Oryctolagus cuniculus: one gene and its partners. The protein of the gene in region 7 purifies or fractionates together with the protein of the main gene of each other region. This does not show direct contact. Links are inferred from orthologs where the notes say so. Each region holds a gene or a part of one and is shown on either strand. Other genes may lie near its edges. The genes, in order: SSR4, MYO1B, SLC25A22, tubulin alpha-1A chain, MYO1C, SLC25A11 and LRRK2.

Region 1 (4,235 bases), on a different chromosome or scaffold from region 7:
GTGGAAGACCTCTCTCCCTCTCTCTGCAGCTCTGAGTTTCCAATAAACGAGTTAAGTCTTAAAAAAGAGAAAGACCTCTGGAAAGACTGTCTGTGCTGCTGTCACTCCCTCAGGGAGCAGGGGGAAGTCAGCTTTTAAACAGACTCTCACAAAGCCTCAGGGCACGGGGGAGGGGCGGGGAGGTGCACAGCCGAGAGCGCTGTCTCCGGGGACTGTCAGCAAAGTCACAGACTTCCTGAAGGTCAAAGTTGACAACATGAAGTTTCTTCCCCTCAGTGGACAGAAAGAGGCGGCCACGTAGCGGGGCAGTGGGAGAGCAAGGCCTGCAGGTCATCTCTCTCATCTCCCAGGGCCAGGGCTGGCTCGCCGCTACAGAGCACGAGCTCTGGGGACAGGAAGCCACACTAAACAACCAAGCCCTCAAAAGCACCACCGAGGGATAGAAGCCCCCACCTCCATCCCCGCCCCCGCCAGGCGGTTCCGGAGGGCGTCCGGGGCCGACAGAGAGTGGGGGGTGGGGCACGGGGATGGGGGTTACTGGGAACGTCTGATTCTCCACCCCATCGGGACAGGTGGCGAAGCGCACTAGAAGGTAACCTGAGTAGCAAGTGAGTACGGGACGAGCCGGGATACTCCTGAATGTCTCGGGAGGACTCTCACAGACACTAGGGAGCCGCCGCAGCCCAACAGATACACACCCCTGGGAGAGACGGACCGAGCCAATCTCGGCCATTCCACAGCCGCATACTCACACCCACACTCCAAACACCTCCCGCCCTCTCCCCCGACGCACAGAGACAGCAGAAGCGGCCAATCAACCCTGGCCCTCTCCCTGCCTCTTAGCGGGGCCCGCATCCAATGGAACATCAGACCGTTTTAGGAGCCTCTAACCCGGCCCGGCCGTAAGGGTGTGCGAGGCCCCGCGTAGCGGACGCTGCTGCTGCGCCGTGGCCTGCTCCCCCTCACCTCCCAAGGACGGCTGAGGACGGCTGGCTTGAACACCGCCCTCGCGACGGCACCTGCAGTCGTCGTCAACTTCAGCGCCATGTTGGAAAATGAGAGCCGCGGCAGATTCCAACAGTTATGACATCGCTATCGCGAGAGTTCGGCGCTGGGCGAAATCCCCACGGCAGACGTGCGCCCGGCGCTGCGCATGCGCGCAGCCGCTCCGGTGGCCACGCCCCCTTCCGGTGCCTGGAGCGTCGCGGCTCCCGGCCGCGCTGCCGCTGCCGCTGCCGCCATCTTAGGGGGGGCGCGACAAGCTGGGCCCCTGGCTCGGGGAGGGGACACGTCAGTGCCCCTAGCGACGTCACGAAGCCTGGCCCGGCCCGCCGGAGCATGATTGGCTATCGCGGCCGCTTACGCGTCGCGCTTCCTCGTCTGCCCCTCGTGTTCAGGCGAGCTCGCTCTTTTTCGCGTCGGCAGAGAAGAGGCGATGGCGGCGATGGCATCTCTCGGCGCCCTGGCGCTGCTCCTGCTCTCCGGCCTGTCCTGCTGCTCAGGTAGCGGCCTGGCCGGAGTTTATTTCTGGCGAGCCTCTGTCCCACGGCAGGTGGTGCTGGGGGGAGGAAGGGTGCGGGCGAAGCGAGGGCAGGCCCTTCCCGGGGCTCGCTGTTGCAGACCGGGCCTTTCCCCGAGAGGTAGCCGGCGTCGCGGCGCAGCCACCAGTGGACCACACGCACGTTTGCCAAGCAGCCAGGCTGCGGGGAGAAACAGTCAAATCCTTCCGTCATCCGCTCGTGATAAAGAGCCGCAAAGCCTACACTGTGGGCCCCGGCTGTCAGCTCCAGCAGGGAAGGTGACACACGTCGCAGCCGTCGCCTGGCTTCAGAGGGGGGTCGGGCAGGATCCACCTCCGGCAGTGCGGAGCGGGCCAGGCTTCCCCAGCAGGCCAGAGAGCCGGAGTGTGGGGCTGAAACGGGCAGCAGGGGCCTTGAGTGCTTCCGAGCCCCGGGGCAGGGTCGAGGACAGCCTGGAGTCAGCCTGGAGTGTGGCTAAAAGGGAGTTGTTGCACATTCACGCTGGTGCCAGCCCGGCCCTCCCGACTGCCCGCACCTCTCTCACCCCGCAGTTCCCTGCCCTGTACCAGGGATGTCTGGCAAGAGACATAGCTGGCCGTGAACCCCTCGGGGGCTCCATAGGGAAAGGCCCAATGGAGCGGCAGGCAGAGAAGACTGGCCCCCAACTCACTGCCCCCGCACCCCCCCAACACACACCCCCTCCACCCCACGCCCCGGCATGTTCCTCCTGCCCGGAGCCAAAGCGCTGTCCGGCTTAGCGCACTTGAGCCATCTCTCTGCCTCCTGTCCGCCACCTCGGTGGCATCGTCCTTTCCCACGGGTCCTCAGGGCTGCTGGAGGCAGATGCCCTTCCCGTCCTCTGGACTGATCCTGGCCTGGACCCCGGGGCTCCCTGTCGTGGGTGCCAGCACTGAAGCGAGCCCCCTGCACACATTCGCCCCCCTTCCGCTGGCATGAGTCCTCACTGCAAAGCCCTCCCTGTTCCCCCAGCCTTCCCCCCCCCCTTGCCATCGCACTCGTGCCTGACCCCCGGCTGTGTGTCGCACACCTCCCGTGGCAGGGGCAGGAGGGCCCTTGTGCCCTGGCTCCAGCACGCCCACGCCGGCCTTGCCTCCTCCCTGCAGCAGAGGCGTGCGTGGAGCCCCAGATCACCCCTTCTTACTACACCACTTCTGACGCCGTGATTTCCACCGAGACCGTCTTCATCGTGGAGATCTCCCTCACGTGCAAGAACAGGGTCCAGGTGGGGCAGTGCGGCTTCCGCCAGGAGGACGGAGGGGCAAGAGGTGGGCGTGGCCAGGGGTGCTCCTCTTGGAACTCAGTTCCTGGGGAGCAGGAGGGGGCAGGGCACAGCAAGGCCCCTTTCCTACGGGCCTGCTCTGCTCTGGGTCTGCGCTGCGGGAGAGAGCGAGGCTCACGCCCAGCCTCGCCCTTCTGCTCTGGATGCCGCTTGCCAGAGAGAGAGAGTCTGGGTGTGCCGCAAGTTCGGGATTGCACAGGCCCGCGTTCCTAAAAGCCCCAAGCGGGGAGTAGGCCCTTTCTGAAGGGCAGCCCTCCTTGGGCAATGGTGGGGGTCTCCCTGGCGCCAGCACCCCCTCGCGGGTTCCGGGAACAGACTCGCTCCCAGAGGACACAGACCCAGAGAGACAGTGCCAGCAGGCGGTGGGTGTTGCTCTCCCAGCGTGGCTCCGGTTGTGCCAGCCTCACCTCTTCGGTGGTTGCATGGTGCTCCTGGCCAGAGAGAGGAGGTGACTCCCCTTTGTCTTCTCACCTAGAACATGGCTCTTTACGCTGATGTCAGTGGAAAACAGTTCCCTGTCACCCGGGGTCAGGACGTGGGGCGGTACCAGGTAAGCGACGGCAGATCTGCGTGCTCTCGGGGGCCCACTGAGTGTCGCTGTGTCACGGCCCCCTCACGTGCACCCTGCCCACCCGCCCAGGTGTCCTGGAGCCTGGACCACAAGAGCGCTCACGCGGGCACCTACGAGGTCAGGTTCTTTGACGAGGAGTCTTACAGCCTCCTGAGGAAGGTGAGGACTGCTCGGGACCTGTCGTCCTGCAGCTGCCCCTGCCCTGCTCACCCTGCTGTCCGCCCCGGCTGGCACTGGGCGGGGGCTCACCGGTGCAGGGCACAGCGACAGCCCCGTCCCGTGCTCCTGCACGCCTGTGCCACCTGCCCCTCGTCCCTTCCTCTCCTCCCCTCGTCACCCCGTTGGCCACCTCTGACCCCAGCCCCTGCCCTCCTTTGCAGGCGCAGAGAAATAATGAGGACATTTCCATCATCCCGCCCCTGTTCACAGTCAGTGTGGACCATCGGGTGAGTGGCCTGGCTCCTCGCTTGGGGGTGTGGGGTGAGGGAAGGTTCTGTGCTCTCTGCCTGCTGGGCCGTGATTGGCCAGTGAGTCTGTGCCCCCGAGGGAAGCTGAGCTGGCTTTGATCTTTCTTGTAGGGCACTTGGAACGGACCCTGGGTCTCCACGGAGGTGCTGGCCGCAGGCATTGGCTTAGTGATCTACTACCTGGCCTTCAGCGCAAAGACCCACATCCAGGCCTGAGAGTGGCAGGCCCCTCAGCCCTCCTTCCTTAGTGAATAAACAGTCACTGGGCGCTACGAGCGGCGCGTCCAGGACCCAGGGCTGCTGCCTTGTGTCGCTCTGCTTTTCCCACACGGTGCGATCTGGGGGCCAGCTCCTCGTCTGCCTGGACAGCAGAGGCA
Region 2 (3,500 bases), on a different chromosome or scaffold from region 7:
TGTGTGTATTTACTGGATTGAATTCAATTTGTAGAATCCAATCTTGAAAATCTCTGGAAGGATGATTATTGAAAGAGCAGTTAAGCAGTTATCCCTGGAAATGAAGCTACTGAGAACCTGATATCATGATATGAAACGGGATAAAGATGTTTTTGTAACTCAGAAAACTGTTTTCACTTTGGCTTTTTTATAGGTCTGGTGTGGAGGTTCTGTTTAATGAGTTGGAGATTCCGGTGGAAGAATATTCCTTTGGTCGATCAAAGATATTCATCCGAAACCCGAGAACAGTAAGTAACCAGAACCCTCACACTTTGAACTTGGGTTAAAGTCTGTGACGTTTCCTGAGATGCTGCCACAAAATGTCACCTCTTGTGGTGATCTGCAAACATCCGAGATAATGGGACTTGCGTTTGCTGTGAAAAGTCCAAGTATTTCATCTGCTGAGTTGGATGACATTTAAGAAATCCTAAGCTATCATGAAACAATAAAACCTCCCTAATTCATGGCAACTGGAGGTAAATTCAGTCCATAATATGTGAATTATACATAATTTAGAAACTACAGCAGTACTATTTTTAGATAATATGAAGGCACACAGTTGAAAATATTTTTAAACTTAAAAAAGCATTTTACAAATTCCACTGCATAGAACTCCAAGGGAGCCATTTTATAAATGATAGATGGATTATAGAGCATCATTACTATAGCAGTTTATTTGGTGATTTGAGATTTACAGAATTTGTAAAGTGTTGAAATTTGAGAAAATCCACCAGCATCTGCTTTCCGCTACAGACTGAGTATTCCTTCTGCAGACTGCTCCAAACCAGAAGTGTTTCAGATTCCAGAGTTTTTTAGATTTTGGAATATTCACATAGAATTTACAGATTGAGCATCCCTAATCCAAAAATCTGAGACCTGCAGATTTCAGATGAGGGATTCTCTGTACGTATTTTCATCCTCATGGACAACGTGAAAAATGGTCTTAAGCTCCGGTCAGTCCTTCTCTGATTTGTCATGAATTGTGGATCACTGGAGTAAAGAGTGTGGCACGTCCCTCAGTTCATCAGAACGTCCATCCACATCACCTGTAGTTACCGTGACGGCTTTTCCCCTCAATGTGGTTGAGCCCGATATCGTGGTGGTTTTCCCTCCTGAAGATCCCTTGCACGTGTACCGTGAGGTCTCGGAGGACTTTTGGTAAGTCCCTCCCTGTTTTCTTACTAGTTATTCAAATTAGAAGACCTGAGGAAGCAACGGCTCGAGGACCTGGCCACTCTGATTCAGAAGATTTATCGGGGGTGGAAGTGCCGTACCCACTTCCTGCTCATGAAGAGAAGCCAAATTGTGATTGCAGCCTGGTACAGGAGATACGCGGTGAGATGCGCAGGCATTTGTAACCTGAATTGACGGGGCTAAGTTGCCAACCTTTATTGTGTTCTAACTCTGTGTGTAATTTGTATGTGGTTAATTCTCCCAGCAACCTCATGAGATGAATGCACTTAGGACTGATTTATTTATTTATTTTAATAAACCCAGGCTCTGAGCTTACAGCCCATGCCTGCACAGCTTTGAGGGGCAGAGCTTGGATTTGAATCCGAGACAACTTCTGAGCTTAGGTTTAGCGTGTGTGCCACACTGCCTTCCACAGATCTAGATGTAGGGAGTGGTCAAAGTACATCCTTAATTTGGTCATCCGAGAGGAAGTGACAATGTCATCTAATCCTTCAACTGTAGTTGGGTTAATTTTCCAAATAATTAGCTGTTTTCCATTATAGCAGCATTAAAAACGGCTTTAATTCCCGGAAGCTAAGGCCGTATTTCAGTATTTCAGAATTCTGGCTTCGGAGAAAGGATTGAATTATGTTGACTTAATTAATATGGGATTTCTTTTTAAAGCTCTTTCTCCCTTGATTGTAGACGTTTTGTTGGAGGTGAGCCACAGGTTTTCAAGAAGCGTGAAAGTTTGTCTCTTGGTAGCTGGAACTTGGGTTGTGTTCTCACAGTATGAGTTTTAGTGATAAGAACACTACTTCCAAATGCTTTTTCATCCTATGCTTTTTTACTATAGAGTGACTTGGAAAATTAATTAAATTTGCACTCAAATCGCCTTTGGTGAATTCTCTTTTTCGGCTCTGAGAGCTTTTGCTACAAGGCAATATGCAGTCAAGACATAATTTACGCTGACTTAGTCTCACATAATATATTGTAGCATTTTATTTCAAGTTTTAGTTAATAAAATTTACCTAATGAGTAAGCTTAATCCTTAAGAATATTTTTTTTTTAAAGATTTATTGGTTCACTCCCCAAATGGCTGCTATGGCCAAGGCTGAGGCCAGGAGCCAGGAACTCCATCCAAGTCTCTTACATGGGTGCAGGGGCCCAAGCACTTGGGCCATCTTCCACTGCTTCCCTAGGTGCGTTAGCAGGGAGCTGGATGGGAAGCGGAGCAGCCGGGGCTGGAACAGGCGCCCATATGGGACTCTAGAGTCAGGGGCTGCAGCTTAACTCGCTGAGCCACAGTGCCGGCCCTTAAAGAATCTTTAAAATTGCTTGCTGTAGTTAAGAGTGCAAGTACAGCACAAGTCTTGAAGTATGGGAGTGACCAGCATGCTGGTGGCGGATTCTCTGTGTGCACAGCAGGGCTGCTTAACTCTTTGTGCGGGATTCAGAGTGCTCTGCTTTCTGTTTGCCCAAGAAAGGAAGGGCCAGCAAACAGCTGTCCTCCACGAGCCCTTCTTAGCACTTTTTCTTTTGAGGCCATTCAGAAAATTCAAGTTTAAAGTGTGTTGAGGGATGGGCCAGCTCTGTGGCACAGTGGGTTGAGCTGCTGTCTGCAATGCCTGCCTCCCATCTGGGTGCCAGTTCAAGTCCTGGCTGCTCGTGGGACAGCAGCAGCAGATGGTTTAAGTCCCTGGGCTCCTGCACACATGTAGGAGACCTAGAAGAAGCTCTTGGCTCTTGGCTTTGGCCTGATCCAGCCCCAGCCATTGTGACGGGCGTGAACCAGTGGAGGGAGATCAATCAGTCAATCTCTGTAATTCTGACTTTCTAATAAATAAATAAACCTTTAAAAAAACATAAGTGAATTGCAGGGTAAGCATCTGGTGTAGTAGTTAGGCTGCAGCTTAGGATGCCCACCTCCCATACTGGTGTGCCTACTTTCAAGTCCCAGCTCCTCTCCCCAATTCTAGCTTCCTGCTAATGCTTAACCTGGGAGGCAGCAGGGGATGACTCAAGTCATTGGGTCCCTTGGTGCCAGTGTTGTGTGCGTTAAGCCTTCATCTGCGACACCAGTATCCCATATCAGAGTGCTGGTTTGAGTTGCGGGTGCTCCACTTGCAATCCAGCTCAGTACATGGGTGTCTGCCACATGGGAGACCTGAATAGAGTTCTTGACTCCTGGCTTTGGCCTGGCCTGGCCCAGCCCTGGCTGTGTGGCCTTTTGGAGAGTGAACCAATAGATTGAAGATCTCCCTCTGTCTGTCTGTCTGTCTGTCTCA
Region 3 (4,100 bases), on a different chromosome or scaffold from region 7:
GCCGGAGCTCTGAACCCCGCCTGATCTCCCAGGTGTCCTTCTACCGGGGCTCGGTGCCCACGGAGGTGCCCAAGGAGGCCGCCCGGCAGAGGAAGGGTGCGGACGCCCTCTGGATGGCCACTCTGCCCCTCAAGCTGCCGGTGAGGGCAGGGGCAGGGCTGGCCCGGGGTGACGGAGTGTGGAGTGGCGTTAGGGGCTCACCGCACACTCTCCCTGCCACAGAGACTGCGGGCGCCCAAGGGGCGGGGGCAGGGGGCCAGCCTCTCCCTGGCACCTCTGAACCTGGGGGACGCTGAGAACGGCTTCCTGACTCAGGCCAACCTGCTGAGCGTGGCCGGGCGCCTGGGGCCCGACTGGCCCACGGTGGCCCTGCACCTGGGCCTGCCCTACGGGGAGCTGCAGCGCATCCGCCACGACTTCCGGTGAGGGGAGGCGGGGTGGGGCCGGCGCAGGCTGGGGAGGGAGGGTGCCGCCGCCGGGGGCCCAGGGAGCACGGTGCCAGCGCCTCTGCCCCCTCCCAGGGATGACCTGGACGGGCAGACCCGCCACATGCTGTTCTCCTGGGCCGAGCGCCAGGCCGGGCAGCCGGGGGCCGCGGGGCTGCTGGTGAGGGCGCTGGAGCAGAGTGACCGGCGCGACGTGGCCGAAGAAGTCCGCGCGGTCTTGGACCTCGGCCACCGCAAGTACCAGGACAGCATCCGGCGCACAGGCCTGGCCCCCGAGGACCCCCCGCTGCCGGGGCCTCCAGCCTCACAGGCCCTGGCCTAGGCCTGGCCGGCTTGGGCTGGGCAGAGCCCCCAGCGCCCGGCCTCTCAGTGGTCGCGTGTGCAACAAATACAGATGGTGCCATCTGCCTCCCGGAGCTCCGTTCATTTGTGGGGCGGAGGGGGGAGGCCGGGTGCCGAGAGGGCGGCCGTGGCGGCCGGGCAGGGGCTCTGTGCGCCGTGCATCTCCCCAGGGAGCCGGAGGAGCCTGTGCTACAAAGTACCCGCAGTGGCCGACCGGATACAAAGTTGCCCTGTGGCTGAGCTGTGTGTCCCTGCCCTGGCCGCCCGCTTGGCCAGTGGTCCCCAAGCGCGCCCACGTGTCTGGCTTGGGATTGGGACCCCCTCCCCTTCCACAGCACCCCCACCCGCGGCCCCTGGGGCCTCGGCCTGAAGAAGCGCTGCCTTGAGGGCCCGACTCCGGGCTCCCAGGTGCCGGCGGGCGCGCGGCGGCGGCACGGCCGGGCGCAGTGGCCCCGGCGGCCGGGAGGGGGAGCCGAAGCCCGCGTGCGGGCCGGGGCCGGGGCCGGGGCCGGGGGCGGAGCGCGCGCGGCGCCGAGCGGACGCGCCTCCCCGCCTAGGTGCTGGCGGGCGCGCGGCGCGGCGGGGAGGCGAGCGCGGCGCGGCTCGGCGGAGCGCGGTGAGTGCCCGGGGGCGGCCGCGTGCGCCCACTGGGGCGCGGCCGGGGCGCCTCGGCGCGGGGAGGTGACAGCGGCCGGCCAGGGCGCAGGGCGGCCGTGGCAGGGCCGGAACCGGCGGATGCTGCGGCCGCCCTGTCGCCCGGGTGTGGGAGGCCGTGCTCGGCCCCGGCGGTGCCGGGCGCGCTCCCCGTGCACACGTGTCCTCGAGGGTGGGAGCCTGGCGCCTGAGCTCAGGAGCGGCCGGGCCAGGGGCGCGCTCGCGGCCCCCCCCCCCCCCCGCGGACATGTGTGGACACGTGCGTGGCCGGAGTCCCGGCAGGGCCTGAGCCGGCAGCGGGCGCCCCCGACCGCTTCTCCTTTGTCCGCCGTTCGGGGCGCGGCGCCATGGAAGACCCTGTCCGAGCCTCTCCAGCCGCGGGACAGAAAGCGATTGAATGGGGAGGCAGCGGCCAGCCCGGGCTCCGAGCCTCACCCCCCACTGCCTTTCTTGGGAGTAGGAGGAGCCGGCAGCCTCCTCCGTGGGAGAATTCACCCTGCAGGCCCGGGAGAAGCAGCGCCGGCCCGGGCTCTGCTGCTGTCCCCAGCCGGCCCGGGGCCTCGGTTTACCCAGCGGGGAGGGAGTGGACAGCGAGGGCTGGCTTAGCCCTGGGGCCTTTGTGGTCCGGCCAGGACCGCTGGGTTTCTGAGGCAACGTGGGTGTCCCTGGAGGGCCTGTGACAGCTGTCTCTCCCGCAGGGCTGGGAGCCTCCGTGGAGGCAGGAGGAGGGGGATGAGTCCAGGACGCTGCTCTTTGCTCCCCGTCCCAGGGCACAGAGCCTCCTTCGCTCTGCTGAGGACTGGCCCCTGCCATGTGGGTGCCCCCACCCCAGATGGGACCTGAGGGCTGGGCCCGACCTCGCCCTAGAAGGCCTCAGGGCAGCTGGAAGAGCTGGGTGGGGCTGGGGGGAGGGAGAGATCAGGTTGAAGTTCAGAGGTCGGCAGGAGGCCCTGGGTGGGGCTGAGCCAGGTGAGCGAGAGCCTCGGTGACACTCAGCCAGCCCCGTCTTCCCTACTGACCCTGTGTGCTCCTGCCCCTAAGGGACACAAAGGCACGGGTGGGCACTGACTCATCTCCCCCCGGGGCACAGGACAGACCGCCCTCCCGGTCCTGGGGCCCTGGACAGGTTCCGGTTGGGAGGCGGTGCTGCACTCGGCCCAAAGCTACAGACAGGACCCCCGGCTACCACACCCCCAGCCGCGGGAGGCGGTGGGTCCCCGGACCACTTCCCCCATCCCTGAGGGCCCAGGCCCTGCTGGGCTCTGAGAAATGTCCCACCTCCTCTTCCCTTAGCCCCAGCTCGCCCAAAGTGAAAGAGAAAGTCGCCCCCCCCACAGGCCCGCCCCACCCCGCCCCTCGGCCAATCCCTGAGCCCCCCTCGCCTCCTCCCCCAGCCTCCCGGCTGCCGGCTTTATCTGCCAGGGGAGGCGGCTTTCTGGAGTGCTGGAGGATCCAGTGCCGCCGGCACCTCAGCGCGGGGGCTGGGGGGAGAGGCGCAAGCTTTCGGAGGCACCTTGGGTGCGAGCCAGCGAGCGACCCCGGGCAGCAGGCTGCGGGGTGAGTCTGTGATAGCTGACCCCCGACGGGACAGGGGTGGGGGCGACACGGGAGAGGATCCAGGGCTCCAGGACCCCCCATTTCACTTCTGATGGCTGCCCTCCATGGGAAGCCCCTGAGGCTGGCTCTGGCCCTGCGCTGATGGGAGACGCCCCTTCTTTCTTGCCTGCAGAGGATGGGGGGCAACCATGGGGAGCCCCAGGCCAGCCCCCCCGGCTGCCCACTTCCAAGGCCCCCGGAGGTCCCAGTGGCCACGGCCCTCTTGGCAGCCCTGAGCCAGGTGCTGGTGGGGTTTCTGGGGCGCCAGCCCCCATCCTGGAGAGGCCGATGCCAGCGTGTCTGCTCAAGGGCAGGGTAGGGGTGACGGTCACCACAACCGGGTCGGTCCAGGGGTCAAGGTGCACGGGCAGCCACGCTGACCCATGCCGCTGTCCCCCAGAGCTGCCTGGCCCTTTAAAAGCTGGAGCTCAGCCCGTGTGCACGTGAGCGCCAGCGTGTGCGTGTGGGAGGCCAGCCGGGAGGACACGGGTGGGGGTGAGGGGGTAGACATGCTGGTGGCTGCAGCCTGGGGCGGGGGTGAGGGGCAGACGCTGCCTCCCCTCTGCAGGCCCTGCTCTATGCCTGCCCCTCTCCCCTGCAGCACAGAAGCGCAGCGGCAGGCACCTACACAGTCCCTGCAGGTGGGAGGCCAGCACCTCCCCCTCGCCCGTCCACCCTCTGGCCACCACCGACACCGCCTCCCCTCCCCCGCCGCGTCTCCTGCTCCTGCCTGGCTGTGCCGGAGTTAAATGGCTGAGAAACAGATCAGGTCAGCAGCAACCCCCAGCCCCCCCCCCCCGCCCCAGGCCCCATCTGTGGTCGGGGGGCAGTCCTGACGGCCCCCTGCCCACACAGCCTGCCCGCCAAGCTCATCAACGGCGGCATCGCCGGCCTGATCGGGGTCACCTGCGTGTTCCCCATCGACCTGGCCAAGACGCGGCTGCAGAACCAGCAGAATGGCCAGCGCATGTACTCCAGCATGTGAGTGCCCGGCGGCCGGGGGCAGCTCCGCCCCTCCCTCATTCTTGGAAAGGGAGAACCCTCCTGGGGCAGGGCAGGGGC
Region 4 (4,154 bases), on a different chromosome or scaffold from region 7:
GGTGTGGCTAGCGCAGTCCCACAGCCGCCATTGTCATCCCACAACCTGCAGTGCTGCCCACGCCCTGCTCTGCCCACCAGCCCGCAGCAGTGACTGGGCTCCACAGGGCGCTGTAGTAATGCAGCCCCCGAAAATCAGTTGCTGGAAATTGAAAGGAAAAACAGAAATTTCTATTTTTGATAGTCAAACAAATCTCTTTACCTCTGAAATGTCATCCACAATGGCAAGAGGTGCACAGCCCGGAGACCTATTTTGCATAGCCCATCCTTGATGAGAATGGAGCCGTTCCGAGCAGCAAACCATTTCCTAGGGGGGAAAGCAAAGCCTTTTTTGTCCCCAAGAGGCCTCTGGGCAGCCACCAGTCTCCAGCTGAATAGCAGCGGTGTGAGGCCGGCTAAGGTTCCCACAGTTAGGAGGGTGTGGACCCCATTCTTATAAGCACTATATAAAAATGGACTGCGGTTGAACTGAGACTGCAGAGTTGCCTGCAGATGGAGGCAACAATACAAAGTGGTCCTCTTTTTGCATCCTACATCTTTCTTGTCTTCTTTTTAATTTAGTGTTTTGGTTACTCTTTTTTGTTTGTAACTTTCCCAAAAGGCGAGCAATGCAGAAATATAATTGCACACACAAGGGATACCGGTTTCTGCAGTCAATTCTTTCTCCTTGTGTTTTCCCAATTCTGTATTGGGAACGATGATTCATTTCTACATCTCACAAAATATATTACAGAGTCTTTTGGCAAATGAGTATCTCTCATCAGCTAACCCTCATGTGTCCATTAGCTCTCACCGACTGCAATGCTAGAACCTTTTGTGTTCTTTTATGCGGTATGGCTATGCCTCCCATCACCCATTTTGTTGAGCTATTTGGGTGTCTGTGCCCAAAAGAAGATATGAAAATACATTAATTGAACCTGCAGAGCCTTTTTTTTTTTTTTTTGGATGACTGTATTACCGGGTCCTTTTCTAATTAAAATAAGAGAGAAAGGGAAAGCATATTTACTCAAACCATTTTGAGTATCGCTCCCGTCTTTCCCACTTTATTTTTAAAGCAATTCGAGATGCTGGTTCGTAACCAAATGTAGCTTAGTGTACTGTCAGGGGGCGATTCTTCACGAAGATTCCATCTCAACACAAATGCTACGATTGAAACCGTACCTAGGTGATTTTAGCTGCAGGTTGAGACTGAAGCGATAGAAAATGATCTAGCCGCAGTCCTCTTTCTTCCCTTCCGCCCCTCCCGAGAGCCCCACCCCGTAATGGATGCTGGGCTGCCGGCTTTGGCTCGGTCTCTTTGTCTGAAGGATGCAGTCTATGGATACTGGGGGAAAACGGGTGGGGGAGCGATTACCTCATCCCATGTCGCCTGCACCAATCAGCACTCTTCTGCCGCGGCTTCTCCGGGCAGAGAGAGGGGTCTGGACCAACAGGAAGAGGCCCCGGCCCATCCCCATGGCGACCGGGCTGTATATAGGCGGCCGCCACCGCCCGAGCCGCAGGTTCTCTTACATCGACCGCCTAAGAGTCGCGCTGTAAGAAGCAGCAGCCTCCCTCTCGGCCTCCGCGCGCAGCAGCAACCATGGTAAGCGCCGGCCCCCCAGGCGGCCCGGGGAGCCCTTTGTAGCCTTTTTTGTCCAGGGTGGCTTTGTTTGCTTTCGGTCCCTACGCCCTGCCGCTGCCGCAGTGCGGAGCCAGGGCCCGGCCGGGACGAACAAAGGCGACGCCAGGGAGTGTTTGTCGCCGAGGACTCCCCGGGGCCGCAGCTGCCCCTCCGGCGGGGCGGGAGGGTCCGCAGCCGGGCGGGGCGTGCGCTCCGCGCTCGTGGGGCTCCCCGGGGACCTGCAGCCCGGGGGCGCTGGGTGTAGCTGGGCGCGGAGAGGAGGACGGGAACCGAGGGAAGCCTCGGGTTGGCGCAAGACCCTTGCGTTCTAGAGAGACAGCCGTCTACTAGCGGCTGGGGCCGGGGCGGCGCAGGGGCGGGGTTGTTTGTTTCTGGCTTCCCCGGTGTTGGAGCCGCCGGACCGGGTTCGCCCTCGCTCAGCCTCCGCGGTCACGGGGAAGCCTTGAATAAAAGCCTTGCATCACCGCGGAACTGAAGACTTCAAAAGGGTTTTCATTACCTGCTAAAGCTCAGATGAAAAAAAATTGTTTTCTCGAGGCCCAGAATCCCAATTCACAAGCCCTTTAAAGTCTGGTCCAGCGTGGCCACGCCCTTGAGGGCTGCGGGGCCGGGCTGTGGGGGGGCGCAGGGTCCGCCCTGGGTGCCTGCTGGGCTGCGGTCGGGAACGCCTGCCCCGCCCCCGCCCCAGGGAGCAGACAATGAAAATTGCAGCCCTAAAAGTGACAATCTCTGTGGGATGAGGAGTAAGAATTTTATGTGGTGGGTAAAGAATTTCAGAAAGAAAACACTTTTTTGTTGCTTTAAATACATATTTCACTGTCCTTTCACTGGGCTTTTGTTCTTTGCTAGCTTCTCATATAACATTTCTTCCTAACTCGCAAACTGTTGTTTCAAAAATACTAACAATTTTTCAGTTTTTTACAGTGGAGGCGATTCTGTAAAAACTTAAAGTAACACAATTGCTGCAGACAAAGAATTACATTCTGCTCTCCAGCCGTCTTTTGTTCTAGGGTGTCTTCATTAATTCATTTCGATTCAGGAGCATGGTCCCAGGCTGGGTCAGGGGAAGAACTAGCAAAACAGCACAATGAGATCATATAGGCAGTTGCTGGAAATAGAGCTTGCTCTGTTAAATAATGTAGCAGACAGTACAGGCTAGCGCCAGGCACAGCAAATAACGGCAGTGCAGCAATGCAGAGGCAGACTTTTGTCTAGCTTCTAATAACTCCTAGTATTGATGGATCCTGCAGGCAGACTGCAGAAGGGTGTGGCTTGCAGCTGCAGTACAGATGCCTCTTGGAATCCTAAGTCCTCTGCAGAAGAAACTAATCTCCAGTTAAAGGGGGAAAAAAGCAGTAAAATGAATTCCAATCCATGATTGGATTGAATTTAATTTACTTCATTTTACAAAATCTGTGCTTTGAAGCCATAAAAAAATCTTCCATTCAAGCATGGCTCTGTGAACAATGGGCTTGCACCATGTGCTAAACTGTGCCAAGGCGACATTATTATTCAGACCACACCCATCTGCAGTATTTGTAGCAGGTGCTTTTCTTTCATCGTTTCTATCATATTAGGGATAAAACTGCAAATAAATTTGAGGAAGATCTAATTACTAGAAATACTTTTAGAAATTTGCTGAAAATTCAAAATGCTAATACAAAATAATTTATATATATTTTTCTCTTTCCCTCACACAGCGTGAGTGCATCTCCATCCACGTCGGCCAGGCTGGTGTCCAGATCGGCAATGCCTGCTGGGAGCTCTACTGCCTGGAACACGGCATCCAGCCCGATGGCCAGATGCCAAGTGACAAGACCATTGGGGGAGGAGACGACTCCTTCAACACCTTCTTCAGTGAGACGGGCGCTGGCAAGCACGTGCCCAGGGCCGTGTTTGTAGACCTGGAGCCTACGGTCATTGGTGAGTTGGCCTCCGTGGCCTCAGTGAGAGCCCCGGGTGCTGGGACAGGTCTGGGACAATTCTGTGAGGGGGGAGCCACTGGCACCCCGGGGCCCTGCAGGCTGTCAGTGACAGGTGGCTGGTCTGCTTCCCTCTTCCAGATGAAGTTCGCACCGGCACCTACCGCCAGCTCTTCCACCCCGAGCAGCTCATCACAGGCAAGGAAGATGCTGCCAATAACTATGCCCGCGGGCACTACACCATTGGCAAGGAGATCATTGACCTCGTCCTGGACCGAATTCGCAAGCTGGTATGTTTCCTCTCAACAATAAAGTACATTAGTAAGTTAAGGGATGCTGTTTGGTTGAAACAGAATTGAAATTGAAAAAAGGTTTTTAAAAATTCAATTAAAACATGAACTATCTGATATCATTTTGTAAATACTGAGAATTTTTAAATGAAGAAATGTTGAGTAATTCCAAGGTCTTCGCTTTTTAAAAAGCATTTGTTAAAGTAAGATCTAAATTCTTAGAGATGTACGAAAAGTGAGACTATTTACTATGATTGTATCACAGACAACAAAGACTTAATCTTTTCTATTCCTCTCTTTTAAACAGGCTGACCAGTGC
Region 5 (4,169 bases), on a different chromosome or scaffold from region 7:
ATCATGGGTGCTGCCACCTAGCACCCTTCATCTGGCAGACAGGGATCCTGGGGCTCAGAGAGGTGGTGGATCCCTCCCTGGCTTCCCACGCAGCCGTGGTGGCTTCATGGCGGACCAGCAATACAGAACCCCCGTGGGCAGCCCCGTTGTCTACAAAAAACAAACCACGTGCCATTCACAGGATCCCCATGAGAGGGCAGCTGCCAGCCTGAAACAGACACTGCACCCACCTCTCCCCTCTCCGTTTTTGTTAACGTGACCCTGGGGCTGGATCTGGGGCTTCCTGACTCCAGGGGTCCCCGTTTTCTCCAGCTCACCTCTCCCCACGTGGATGTCTTCACACACTCCTTCCCCCGCCTCCTTGCCTGGGAGGGGAGTTCAGCAGAGATTGAGAGGCGGAAGGGGAAAGGGGAACACTCTCCCTCCTCTTGGCCCCAGTCAGGATATGGCCGCTCTGGGCCCACCCCTGACCCGCTGGGTGGAAACAGGAAATATGTGAGACTTGGTGTGCGCTGGGTCTCTGTGCCTGGCTCCACGGCTGATAAGAAGCCATTGTGTGGCCGCCAGGGATGAGCTGCCCTGGATAGATGTGCTTCCCGGAGGAAGGAAGGAAGCCTTGCCGGCCTTTCCTGGGCGGGGGACACTGGGGAGGGAGGAGAGGGCCCCTGGCTGGCTGCACAGGCCCCCTGGGCGGCAGCCCCTCCCGTGCCAGCCTGTTTCCCCAACCACTTCCCCGTCCTCACTTCCTATGAGGAATGGCTGGAGACTGGAGGGCTCAGGCCCAGGCCAGGAAAGTGTCAGCTATGATTTAGCAACAAGAAAGATGGAAAAACAGGAACACTGCGGGGGTGGGGGTACCTGAGGGGACCGCTGAAAAGTGAGGCAAGAACAGGGTGTGAGGTGGTGCACACCTAAGGAACTCAGCAGTGAGTCTTCCAGGCATTCGCGGCTCCAGAGGAGGGGAGGGTGGGGACCTCCCCACAGTGCCCCCTGCCTCTCCTAACGATCCCTCTGCCCAGTATGGCCATCCATCAGCAGCCCTGGCTCCTCAAATGCAAGGGGCTACCTGCTGCCCTCAGGCAGCCAAGCTACAGGGACAATCAAGAGGGACAGCGCCTTTTGAAAGATCCTCTTGGCTCAGGGGAGGCTGTGCCTTCTGCTTTGGGGAGTGGCCACTGTGCCCTCTGCTGATACCAGAGAGTGGGCAGCGGGGAGAAGTCCAGCCACAGGGCTGCCTTCTTACCTATGGCCTGGAGCCCAGGGTCCCCCCCACGGGTGACTGCCTCAGCTCCCCTGGCTACCTGGGACAAGAGGCATTTCCTCCACCCCTCAGCTCCTCCTCTTCCTGCCCCAGCCCTGCGGGCCAAGAGGCCTTCCAATCAGACCTGGGCTGCTCCAGCTGTGTCCTGAGGAGCTGGACCAGCCACATCCCCTGGGGCCGGAATTGAAGCAGAACCAAGTGGCCATCCCAGCCTGAAACCACAGATTCCTGGCTCCGGGAGCGGCCAGGGCAGGCAGCTTCAGCCCAGGGGCTCAGCACTCTGGCTGTCCACAGGGCGGAATGGCGCTGCAAGTGGAGCTGATCCCCACGGGGGAGATCATCCGCGTGGTTCATCCCCACAGGCCCTGCAAGCTTGTAAGTGGGGCGCTCTGGGCTGGGAGGAAGGGTGGCACTGTCCAGCCAGGGCCTGGCAGCCCCTCAGGAAAGAGGTGAGCGCTGCGAGGGTTTGGGTCCTGGCGTAGAAACCAAAGGGGCAAGAAGGCGTAAGGGGAAAGGAAGGGATAGAGTGTGCGGGATTAAGGATCAGTAGAAGCACTTTCTAAAATGGAGATCAGGGTTTCAGTCGCTTCTCCAGCTTGCTGGTCGGGGACCTGGGCATGACAAGCTACTCAGGGCGAGGGACTAGTGCACGTAGAGCACCAGGCGCATAGTACAGGCTCAGCTGATGCCCCTCCTTTCTCGTTGGCCAAGGAACTGAGGTCTCCCGGCTCAGAGCAGTAGCATGGGCGCAGAGGCGGGTGAAGGGAGAGATAGTCAGACCTGGGGAAGAACTGCTCTGGCCTGGCGGGCAAGGGAGGGAGAGTCCGGTTCACTCTGGGGGTGAGGAGGGAGAACCCCCAACGGGCGCGCCCACCCACCCACTCTGCAGAGTGGACCGCTTCCTAGGTGGGAGGCGGATGCGTGTGTGCGCGCGCGCGCGCGACTACGACGACGCGCCTTGTCCCGGGAAGCGGTGAAGGAGCGCGCTGGGCACAAGTCTCCCCTGGCCGGGGCCGGAGCCTGGGCCGGCTGGGGCGGGGCGGGGCCGGAGGGCGCGCGCGCGCGCCGGAGTCTGGGCCTTGCCCGGGATGACGACAGGCGGCGGCCCGGCCCCCGGCGGGCCCTGGGCGGGGAGAGCGTGCCGGGGCCGCGGACTCCCGAGCTGGTCACGCCGCCCAGCCCGGCCCCCGCCAGCGCACCCCAACAGCCGAGCCGGTGGGTACGCTGGGCAGGGCGGGAAGCGGGCGCGTAGCTCCGGGAGGCCTCTGCTGGCTGGCGGGTTACGGGAAAAGGCAGGCGGCCAGCTCGGGGATACCGTACAGGAGGCGGGGGTCGCCGGCGGGGGAACGCTGGGACCAGGATCAGCTCGACCTGGCCCGTGTGGGATTCCCCCCAGGTCCCGGAGGCGCGGGGACCAGGCCTGGTGGGACTTGGATTACTTGCGGGGAACCTGAAGGCGGGGAAGAGCGACTGGGGTTTGGGCACCTAGCGCGCTCTTTCGGGCCCCTCCCGCAGCCCTGCTCTGCCTCTGGGTTCCGGAGAAGCCGCCGGAGACCCGCCCCTTTCCGTTCTCCGCCCCCAGGGCCCGGCAGCGCTGGTGGCCCCTTGCGTGCCTCTGCGCGCGCGTGCGGTGGGTGGGGGCTCCGAGATGAATGAGACAGGGAACGGTGGCTCCCCGCTTTATTCAGCTCCCGGCAAGCTCGGGCCGCCGGCTCACCCTCCCTGTCTCTGAGAGTCATTCATTCACTCGTTCATTCATTGATTCATGCGGGAGTCTAGGAAGGAGTTTGGGAGCCCCCACTGTACCTAGCAGGGTGTGCGCCTGGGGCAGTCTGACCAGCGATAAGCTGGGGGCTGTGTGTTGGGGATAGGCAGGGAGGGGTTCTGCAGAACTTGATACCTGAGCCGAGTCTCCCAGGACCACTGAGAGTCAGGGAGGTGGGCCAGGGCAGCTGCAGGTGCAAAGGCGTGGAGGCTTAGAGAGCCACGTGTGGCTGCTGGCAGAGGCACCGCGGCCCCGCCTGGCTGTGTGTGGCTTAGTAGAGGCCTGGGGAGAGTAGGGACTGGAATGCAGGGGCAGTGAGTTACACTGAGACCAGTGGGGCCTGCAGAGCAGCAGTGGGTGTGAACCACAGGCCTGGCGCATACAGGCTGCCCTATCAACCTTCACTCTCCGCACGGGAGATGTTCCTGGGCGGCGCTGCATTTGTAAATAGCACAGCCTGCTGTGGAAAGTGGACTGGTAGGAGGAAGGCGGGGTGCGGAGTGAGGGGCTGCGGTGCTGGTCCAGGAGAGAAGTGGTGGAGAAGCAGAAAGAGGTTTTAGCAGGTGGTGACTGCTTGGTGTGGGGCGGGGAGGGGGCAGGGCAGGCCTCTCCGTGCCCACGTGATGGCCAGCTGGAGGTGCCGCCTCCTCTTCATAGAGGACTCAGCCAGGAGAACAGGGTAGGAGGCCAAGTGCTCTTTTGCTTTTGCTGGCCCCCAGGCAGAGACGTCTAGCTGGCCAAAGGCCCCTGGTTCTGGAGTGAGGGCACAGCCCTTGACTGGGCCCTGCGAACCATCAGGGTAGACCCCCAAGTCCCCATCTTCTCCCCACTCCCCAAGGGTCCGTGAAGCCCAGAACAGTGCTTGGTGGGGCAGCCTGGTCCCAGGCCCAAGATTTGTTTGAGAAATATACATAAGTTGAGTACCTGCACTGTGCGTAGCACTGCGCCGCCAGTGAGACCTGCTGTGTCTCCCCTGCCCCAGGAGGCCCTCCGCTCAGAGCCTCAGAGCGGGGAGCAGCTGTCTGCCCCTCCCCCAGCCCGGCCCGCAGGCCCCTGACCCACAATAGCTAAAGGGCAATGGATGGCCCACGTGGGCTGGGTCCTCTCCATCCCCTGCGCTCACAGCAAACAGCCTCCCCAAGG
Region 6 (4,084 bases), on a different chromosome or scaffold from region 7:
TTTGCAGTCTCCGGGTAAGCCCAGAGTGGAGAGTGGGCACTGTCTTCTTCCCCTAGATTCTGGATTCCACGCATGTTCACGCACTTCGATCCTAACCGGACTCTAACTATCCCCAGCCAGACCCGGGGCATGGCTCCTCAACCCCGCCCAGGATGGAGGATTTGGACAAAGAGGGGAGGGGAAAAAAAAAAAAAAAAGAACGCCAATCACCTGGAGTCCCTCCTGGCTCAGGGAGGCCCCAAACAGAGCTGGCAGGTCTGCAAAGTCCATGCTGGCATTGTGCTCCGAGGTCTGGGGGCACAAAACGTCCACGTTCCCCTCCGGCCCGCAACGCCCCCCTCCGGCGCCCTTCCTCCACCCGCCCCACAGACTCACCGCTCGGATGAGGCCCCGGATGGGGGCTGCTCCCCACAGCACGGCGGCCACAACCACAGGAAGCGGGAAGGCCGCGCGGTGCATGGCAGCGGGCGGGGAGAGGCCGAGGAGGCCGCGGCCCGGGAGCAGAAGCAGAAGCGGGGCTCTGCGCCCTCCCCGCCGCTCCCTCAGGATCCCAGGGGTCCAACCACCCCCAGGTCCCACTTCCCAGCTACATGGGGGCGCCGGGGAAGGAACCCCGACCCGGGGAGCGAGGCCCCAAGCCCGTTTAGCGGAGCTGGGTCGGAGACTCTAAATGGACCCTTTTCTGGATTGGGGACAAAACGGGGAGAGGGGACGGAAGGAAACACAGGTGACAGCAAAACTTCTGGAAGGGTGGGGGAGCCCCGGGAGGTGGGACTTCCGGCCAGGTGGGCCGTCTTCCTATCCCTGGGAAAAAGGTTTCCGACAAAGAGTCAGGCCGCTTCCAGCATTGGCCGCTCAAGATGAAGGACTTCCGGTCCTGAAAGGCCGGTTAAGAGAAAAATTAGAGATGGAGGGATTGTCTGTGGAAACGGAGGGCGCACGGCTGCCCCCCAGAAGAAGAGCGAATCATTTCCCCCTTAGTGCCCGGGAACCTGGGGCTTCCCTGTTTACAAACCTCTCCGCTCCCTGTGGCCGCCGCTGCCGCCGCACCTGCAAGTCTCGCGAGAAGGCTTACCAGCCCACTCCCCCGCCCCCACGGCTGCCGAAAGCTTGCTCTACATATCGCGAGAGCCCTCCTAACTCTGGGAGCCGGACTGACTAGATCTCGCGAGACCTCGAACAGCTTGTCTAGTTTCCCGCGATTCCAAGTCGGTGAAGACTGTGCCTATACGCCAGTTTCCAACCAAGCCACGCCCCTTCCCGCACGCAGCCTTTAAGCTCCTCCTTCAGGGTCGCCTTACTCCCGGCGGCCTTTGCGCTTTGCGCCTGCGCGGGCGCCGGCTTGCAGCTGGTGCTGGACCTGGGAGCCGGAGGGGCGTGCGCGCGCGCCCTCGCCCTGTTGCGCGCGCGGTGTCACCTTGGGCGCGAGCGGGGCCGCGCGCTCTCGGGACCCGGAGCCAGGGCCATTGAGTGGCGATGGCGGCGACGGCGAGTCCCGGGGCCGGCGGGATGGACGGGAAGCCCCGTACCTCCCCTAAGTCCGTCAAGTTCCTGTTTGGGGGCCTGGCCGGGTAAGCTCAGGCCCCAGGGATGGGAAAGGAGGAGGAAGGGACGGACGGGCCCGGTTCATCTCTGGGACTGTTTCAGTGAACTGAGCCTGCTTGAGGGTCAGCGCGATCCCCAGCGTGTTGGGAGGTTCCTGATGGGCTGCCCCTGACTGCATGCAGGGTCTTGGCACGATCCCCCACCCCGCACCTCCCCAGTCCGTTGCTTGGTTCCGCAGGGCTGTTTAGGGTTCCATGACTCTAGGGGACTACTTAGTGCCCCAGGTCGTGGATACGCCCTTGGCCCGCTCCCTGGGTCGCACTGCATGCGGTCCCGGCCCACCGGGCCCACCGATGGACTCCCGTGGATCTGCTTGGAGTAGTTTCATTGCATGACCCCTAATGGACAATGGACTTTCCAGAACCCGCTGCTGTTGGTACACACAGAGACTGTCAGACACATGCCTACCAGCCCTCCTTAATCCCTAATCCGAGGCAGGCCCTGACCTTAGTAACCCCTTGTGCTAGGCTGCAGTAGGCAGCGGGAGATCTTGCACACGTGGCCCTTGACCCTGCTCCCACCTTCCTCCAGGATGGGAGCTACGGTTTTTGTGCAGCCCCTGGACCTGGTGAAGAACCGGATGCAGCTGAGCGGGGAAGGTGCCAAGACCAAAGAGTACAAAACCAGCTTCCATGCCCTTACCAGCATCCTGAAGGCGGAAGGGATAAGGGGCATTTACACCGGGTACTGGGGCCTCCAAGGTTGGGGGGAGGGTGTGGGTTTGGCAGATGCAAGCCTTGGCCCCACACACTGACCCCTCTGCTCTCCAGGCTGTCAGCTGGCCTGCTGCGCCAGGCCACCTACACCACTACTCGTCTTGGCATCTATACCGTGCTGTTTGAGCGCCTGACTGGGGCTGATGGGACACCCCCTGGCTTTCTGCTAAAGGCTGTGATTGGCATGACCGCAGGTGCAACTGGTGCTTTTGTGGGAACACCAGCGGAGGTGGCTCTGATCCGCATGACTGCCGATGGCCGGTGAGTTCCAACTCGGAGCCTGACCTCAGCCCCGATCCCCGGGATCTAGAATGAAATGACTTGCTTTTCTTTTTCTTTTTAAGACTTATTTATTTGAAAGGCAGAGTTACAGAGAGAGAGAGAAAGATAGGGAGAGCAAGAGCTTCCATCTGCTGGTTCACTCCCCAGATGGCTGCAATGGCCAGGGCTGGGCCAGGCCAGAGCCAGGAGCTTCACCGGGTGTCCCACATTGGGGCAGGGCCCCCAGGGCTTGGGCCGTCTTCCACTGCTTTTCCTAGGGGCATCAGAAGTGGAGCAGCTGCAACTTGAACCGGCGCTGATAGAGGAGTTGCAGGCGGCAGCTTAACCTGTTGCACCTTGACGCCTGCCCCCAAATGACCACTTTTTAACCCCAGATCTGGAACAGAGCGCTCACCTGTTCAGGCTTCCAGTCCAGTGCTCCCACGGGGCCAGGTGGGCCTTGCTGATCCTGTCCTCTCTTTGCCTTCCCACCAGGCTTCCGGCTGACCAGCGCCGTGGCTACAAAAATGTGTTTAATGCCTTGGTTCGAATCGTCCGGGAAGAGGGGGTCCTCACTCTGTGGCGGGTGAGTGAAGGGGCTGGAGACCTCGCGGGTGTGGGGTCAGGCCTCCGGCCTTTCTGACTGTCCACACTCCCCACCTCCAGGGCTGTGTCCCCACCATGGCCCGGGCTGTCGTCGTCAATGCTGCCCAGCTCGCCTCCTACTCCCAGTCCAAGCAGTTTTTGCTGGACTCAGGTGAGACCCAGAGCCGGACCCGTGGCCGCCAGCCTGACCCGAGCCACGTCCAGGCTGACGGTCATCCCCTTCCCCCGGCTCTCTCCCTCCAGGCTACTTCTCTGACAACATCCTGTGCCACTTCTGCGCCAGCATGATCAGTGGCCTCGTCACCACTGCCGCCTCCATGCCCGTGGACATTGTCAAGACCCGGTGCGTGCAGGCCCGGACCTGGTGAGGGGCTGGAGGACCCCCTCTCTGTGGCTCATGCCCCTGCTGCTTCTCTTTTAGGATCCAGAACATGCGCATGATTGATGGGAAGCCAGAGTACAGAAACGGGCTGGTGAGGAGCAGGACTTGGGGCTTGGGCTGGAGTGTTCGGATGCCCCGGGAGGGCCATGGGTCAGGGGCACAGGGCCCTACAGGCCAGGTCCTGGCCCCAGCGCCCCGCCTGCTTGTCTTCCTAGGACGTGCTGGTGAAGGTCGTGCGCTACGAGGGCTTCTTCAGCCTGTGGAAGGGCTTCACGCCGTACTACGCCCGCCTGGGTCCCCACACGGTCCTCACCTTCATCTTCTTGGAGCAGATGAACAAGGCCTACAAGCGCCTCTTCCTTAGTGGCTGAGGTGGCTGGGGGCTGGAGCCGGCGGCCCCTGCAGTGGCTGCGCCCCGGCGAGGTGGAGGGCCTGGACTCTGCCGCCCGGGGCCCCTCTATTTATTTCCCCTCCGCAGAGTGGTCTTCTCCTCGGTGGTAAAGGACTTTGGGCT
Region 7 (3,500 bases):
CTAGTGACTCCACAGGCTACAGAAAATGAGATTTAGTTATAGGTTAAACATGGACCTCTTATACATGCCAGCAGGCATTTTTATCTTTGCTGTGAATTGTCTGAGCTGCAGGTAGTGCCTGCAGTGCCTCTCCTTTGCCTTATATTCTTGATTGTTGTTGTTTTTCATTGCACCAGCCAATTCAATTTTTTAAATTTATTATGCATTTCTGGTGCTAGACGCATGCCCTCAAATGCATTTTCTTTTCTTTCTTTCTTTTTTTTTTTTTTTGAAAGGCAGAGTGGATAGTGAAAGAGACAGAGAGAAAGGTCTTCCTTTTGCCGTTGGTTCACCCTCCAATGGCTGCCGCAGCCAGCGTGCTGCAGCCGGCACACCGCGCTGATCCGATGGCAGGAGCCAGGTACTTATCCTGGTCTCCCATGGGGTGCAGGGCCCAAGCACTTGGGCCATCCTCCACTGCACTCCCTGGCCACAGCAGAGAGCTGGCCTAGAAGAGGGGCAACTGGGACAGAATCCGGTGCCCCGACCGGGACTAGAACCCGGTGTGCCGGTGCCGCAAGGCGGAGGATTAGCCTAGTGAGCCACGGCGCCGGCCCCCCAAATGCATTTTCTGCTGAAGCTCCAGTGCCTGGAGGAGAGATTGCCACCGGGAGGTGTTCAGGACACCTTGCCCTAATGGATTCAAGCCCTTTGCTCACGTTTCTGCTGTTTCTTGATACAGGGTCGACCAAACTGCAGTCCCACGCGAGGCAGTCAGACAGCGTGTCCTCCCTGGCTTCGGAGAGGGAGTACATCACCTCCTTAGACCTATCAGCGAATGAACTCAGGGAGGTCGATGCCCTGAGCCGCAGGGGCTGCCTGAGTGGCCACTTGGAGCACCTGGAGAGGCTAGAGCTGCAGCAGAATGCACTGGTCAGCTTCCCACAGCCACTCTGCGAGGTACGCCCCCCGCCCGACTCCCAGTGCTGGAGGAGGCTTGCACGCCCCCCGCCTGACTCCCAGTGCTGGAGGAGCCCAGCACCGTCCAGTCTTCCACACCCCCCGCCCAACTCCCAGTGCTGGAGGAGCCCGGCACCATCCAGTCTTCCACGTCCCCTGCCCGACTCCCAGTGCTGGAGGAGCCCAGCACCGTCCAGTCTTCCACGCCCCCCAGCCGGACTCCCAGTGCTGGAGGAGGCTTGCACCGTCCAGTCTTCCACACCCCCAGCCGGACTCCCAATGCTGGAGGAGCCCGGCACCGTCCAGTCTTCCACGCCCCCAGCCCGACTCCCAATGCTGGAGGAGCCCGGCACCGTCAGGTCTTCCAGTCTCCTCCTGTGTCATTGCACAGGACGCCCCCTGTTCCTCTGCTGTCCACATGGGTATCAGTCTGGGTGGTGTGCAGAGACCCCTTTGAGAGCAAGCAGTGGAGACAGAGACTGGGTTAAAATGCAATTCTAGGTTCTGTCTCGGTAACACAGGGTATGTGTCAGCATCTGTCAGAGCTGCCTGCTGATGGCTCCATATAGTCGGTTTGAGTCCAGATAACTGAAGCTTTTAAAGTATTTTAGGGAGACGAGAGTTTAACCTGGTTTGGTAGTAGCTGTGTGACCATGAGAACTGCTATCTGCCTGTTTTTTTTTTTTTTTTAAATAACTCTTTTTTTATTTTTTGACAGGCAGAGTGGACAGTGAGAGAGTGAGACAGAGAGAAAGGTCTTCCTTTGCCGTTGGTTCACCCTCAATGGCCGCCGCAGCCGGCGCACCGCACTGATCCGATGGCAGGAGCCAGGAGCCAGGTGCTTTTCCTGGTCTCCCATGGGGTGCAGGGCCCAAGCACCTGGGCCATCCTCCACTGCACTCCCTGGCCATAGCAGAGAGCTGGCCTGGAAGAGGGGCAACCAGGACAGAATCCGGCGCCCCAACCGGGACTAGAACCCGGTGTGCCGGCGCCGCTAGGCGGAGGATTAGCCTAGTGAGCTGCGGCGCCGGCCAGCTATCTGCCTGTTCTGAGCCTTCATTTCCTCCACTGTAAATTGAGAGGCTCAGCTAACTGACCATGATGACTTTGTGTTTTAAAGATTTACTTATTTATTTGAAAGACTCAGTTACAGGAGAAAGGGAGCGAGAAAGAAGGAGACAGAGAGTTTGCATCTACTGGTTCACTCCCCAAATGGCCATAACAACCAGGGCTGGGCCAGGCCCTACTGAGGAGCTAGGAGCTTCATCTGGGTCTCCCATGTGGGTTCAGGGGCCCAGGGACCTAGGTCATCTTTCACTGCTTTCCCAGATATGTTAGCAGGGAACTTGACTGGAAGTCAAACAACCAGTACTGGAATGCCAATGCTGCAAGTGGTGGCTTAATGTGCTGTGACAAAACACTGGCCCTGATCATGAGGACTTTTTGGGGGGAGAGGGGTTGAAATTGTGTGTAACTTGGAGTGGGCGTTTATCCTGGAGGTTAAGATGCATGTGTGCTATGTTGGAATGCCAGGTTCAGTACCCAGCGCTAGCTCCTGACTTCAGCTTCCTGCTAACGTAGACCCTGGAAGGCAACAGTCATGGCTCAAGTGATTGGGTTGCTGCTACCCAAATAGGAGATCTTCATTGAGTTCTCAGTCCCTGCCTTCAGCCTATTTGTTGTTTGCATTTACAGCAATCAGCCAACAGATAGGAACAGTGTATGTGTGTGAATGAATAAAATAAAAAGTTATATGTAACTTAGGAATTAATTGTCTGCTCAAACTTCTAATCTTGAGAGAATTAAAGTATAGCAGTTTGTTGATAGCATAGTCCTCTGAATATGGACTTTCTCTTCTTTGTATTATGGGTCAGACGTTTTCAAAGCCAAAGATGATACGGCAAATTAAATTAATACAAACATTTAAATTACTAAGCTGATTTCTTGGATTGAATTGCAAAGTTTGTTAAAGAATAATACCAGTCTTTTTAAAATGAATCTTACTGCAAATGCATTTCTCTTTCTTCTTTTATTTTTATTTACTTATTTTTGTTTTATTTGAAAGGCAGATACAAAGAGAGAGAGACAGAAAAACAGAGTGAAGAAGGGACAGAGAGTGGGAGCGAGTGAGCCAGCTTTTATGCAGTGATTCAGTCTCCAGGGCCTGGGCCAGAGCCAAAGCCAGGAGCCAGGAACTCAGCCTGGTCTTCTCGCTGAGAATGAGGGATTCAAGTACGTGAGCCATCACCTGCTCCTTCAAGGTACACATTAGCAGGAAGCTGGAATCGGGAGTGGAGCCAGAGTTTGATCGCAGACACTCCAGTATAGGATGGAGGTTTCCCAAGGAGCAGCCACCCCACGTTTTGAGATGCTTTTAAACCAGTGTTGTGAGAGCTTTGAGTATATACCCCTGAAGCTTACATTTATCTCCACGCACGTCCAAGAGGCGTCTTTTGTCTCTCGTTCGCCTGCTTAAATCCTTCCCATTACCCAGGTCCCAGGGGAAAGTTCACTGTGTTGCCCTCTGCTTCTTTGCTCTGTCTTCCTTCCAATCAGGCCGG

What was found.
Region 1: the proteins of LRRK2 (region 7) and SSR4 purify together in Homo sapiens (co-immunoprecipitation; 3 studies listed by IntAct, with this or other methods). This does not show direct contact. The link is inferred for Oryctolagus cuniculus from reciprocal best matches to the Homo sapiens genes LRRK2 and SSR4.
Region 2: the proteins of LRRK2 (region 7) and MYO1B purify together in Homo sapiens (affinity purification with mass spectrometry; 3 studies listed by BioGRID and IntAct, with this or other methods). This does not show direct contact. The link is inferred for Oryctolagus cuniculus from reciprocal best matches to the Homo sapiens genes LRRK2 and MYO1B.
Region 3: the proteins of LRRK2 (region 7) and SLC25A22 purify together in Homo sapiens (co-immunoprecipitation; 3 studies listed by IntAct, with this or other methods). This does not show direct contact. The link is inferred for Oryctolagus cuniculus from reciprocal best matches to the Homo sapiens genes LRRK2 and SLC25A22.
Region 4: the proteins of LRRK2 (region 7) and tubulin alpha-1A chain purify together in Homo sapiens (affinity purification with western blotting; 4 studies listed by BioGRID and IntAct, with this or other methods). This does not show direct contact. The link is inferred for Oryctolagus cuniculus from reciprocal best matches to the Homo sapiens genes LRRK2 and TUBA1A.
Region 5: the proteins of LRRK2 (region 7) and MYO1C purify together in Homo sapiens (affinity purification with mass spectrometry; 3 studies listed by BioGRID and IntAct, with this or other methods). This does not show direct contact. The link is inferred for Oryctolagus cuniculus from reciprocal best matches to the Homo sapiens genes LRRK2 and MYO1C.
Region 6: the proteins of LRRK2 (region 7) and SLC25A11 purify together in Homo sapiens (co-immunoprecipitation; 3 studies listed by IntAct, with this or other methods). This does not show direct contact. The link is inferred for Oryctolagus cuniculus from reciprocal best matches to the Homo sapiens genes LRRK2 and SLC25A11.

The regions. Positions count from the first base shown.
Region 1 is NC_091453.1:132,150,508-132,154,742, forward strand, and holds SSR4 (translocon-associated protein subunit delta precursor), read left to right. Parts: upstream 1-1,435; coding exon 1,436-1,502; intron 1,503-2,644; coding exon 2,645-2,763; intron 2,764-3,295; coding exon 3,296-3,370; intron 3,371-3,460; coding exon 3,461-3,550; intron 3,551-3,771; coding exon 3,772-3,837; intron 3,838-3,969; coding exon 3,970-4,074; downstream 4,075-4,235. Other genes in the region: IDH3G (isocitrate dehydrogenase [NAD] subunit gamma, mitochondrial), read right to left, coding at 967-1,047. UniProt on the Homo sapiens protein: TRAP proteins are part of a complex whose function is to bind calcium to the ER membrane and thereby regulate the retention of ER resident proteins.
Region 2 is NC_091434.1:48,897,695-48,901,194, reverse strand, and holds part of MYO1B (unconventional myosin-Ib), read left to right. Parts: intron 1-193; coding exon 194-287; intron 288-1,224; coding exon 1,225-1,374; intron 1,375-3,500. UniProt on the Homo sapiens protein: Motor protein that may participate in process critical to neuronal development and function such as cell migration, neurite outgrowth and vesicular transport.
Region 3 is NC_091432.1:325,871-329,970, reverse strand, and holds the start of SLC25A22 (mitochondrial glutamate carrier 1), read left to right. Parts: upstream 1-1,300; 5' UTR 1,301-1,404; intron 1,405-2,836; 5' UTR 2,837-2,999; intron 3,000-3,639; 5' UTR 3,640-3,787; coding exon 3,788-3,807; intron 3,808-3,893; coding exon 3,894-4,019; intron 4,020-4,100. Other genes in the region: PIDD1 (p53-induced death domain-containing protein 1), read left to right, coding at 33-140, 223-422, 522-768. UniProt on the Homo sapiens protein: Mitochondrial glutamate/H(+) symporter. Responsible for the transport of glutamate from the cytosol into the mitochondrial matrix with the concomitant import of a proton. Plays a role in the control of glucose-stimulated insulin secretion.
Region 4 is NC_091442.1:52,629,035-52,633,188, reverse strand, and holds the start of tubulin alpha-1A chain, read left to right. Parts: upstream 1-1,354; 5' UTR 1,355-1,581; coding exon 1,582-1,584; intron 1,585-2,122; exon of another isoform or gene 2,123-2,229; intron 2,230-3,323; coding exon 3,324-3,546; intron 3,547-3,686; coding exon 3,687-3,835; intron 3,836-4,142; coding exon 4,143-4,154. UniProt on the Homo sapiens protein: Tubulin is the major constituent of microtubules, a cylinder consisting of laterally associated linear protofilaments composed of alpha- and beta-tubulin heterodimers.
Region 5 is NC_091448.1:47,036,011-47,040,179, reverse strand, and holds the start of MYO1C (unconventional myosin-Ic), read left to right. Parts: upstream 1-1,369; 5' UTR 1,370-1,561; coding exon 1,562-1,636; intron 1,637-2,338; exon of another isoform or gene 2,339-2,476; intron 2,477-4,169.
Region 6 is NC_091448.1:51,302,300-51,306,383, forward strand, and holds the start of SLC25A11 (mitochondrial 2-oxoglutarate/malate carrier protein), read left to right. Parts: upstream 1-1,284; 5' UTR 1,285-1,476; coding exon 1,477-1,571; intron 1,572-2,136; coding exon 2,137-2,289; intron 2,290-2,375; coding exon 2,376-2,582; intron 2,583-3,077; coding exon 3,078-3,168; intron 3,169-3,248; coding exon 3,249-3,339; intron 3,340-3,431; coding exon 3,432-3,531; intron 3,532-3,609; coding exon 3,610-3,661; intron 3,662-3,785; coding exon 3,786-3,941; 3' UTR 3,942-4,084. Other genes in the region: E3 ubiquitin-protein ligase RNF167, read right to left, coding at 211-291, 376-459. UniProt on the Homo sapiens protein: Catalyzes the transport of 2-oxoglutarate (alpha-oxoglutarate) across the inner mitochondrial membrane in an electroneutral exchange for malate.
Region 7 is NC_091440.1:131,827,533-131,831,032, forward strand, and holds part of LRRK2 (leucine-rich repeat serine/threonine-protein kinase 2), read left to right. Parts: intron 1-721; coding exon 722-939; intron 940-3,500. UniProt on the Homo sapiens protein: Serine/threonine-protein kinase which phosphorylates a broad range of proteins involved in multiple processes such as neuronal plasticity, innate immunity, autophagy, and vesicle trafficking.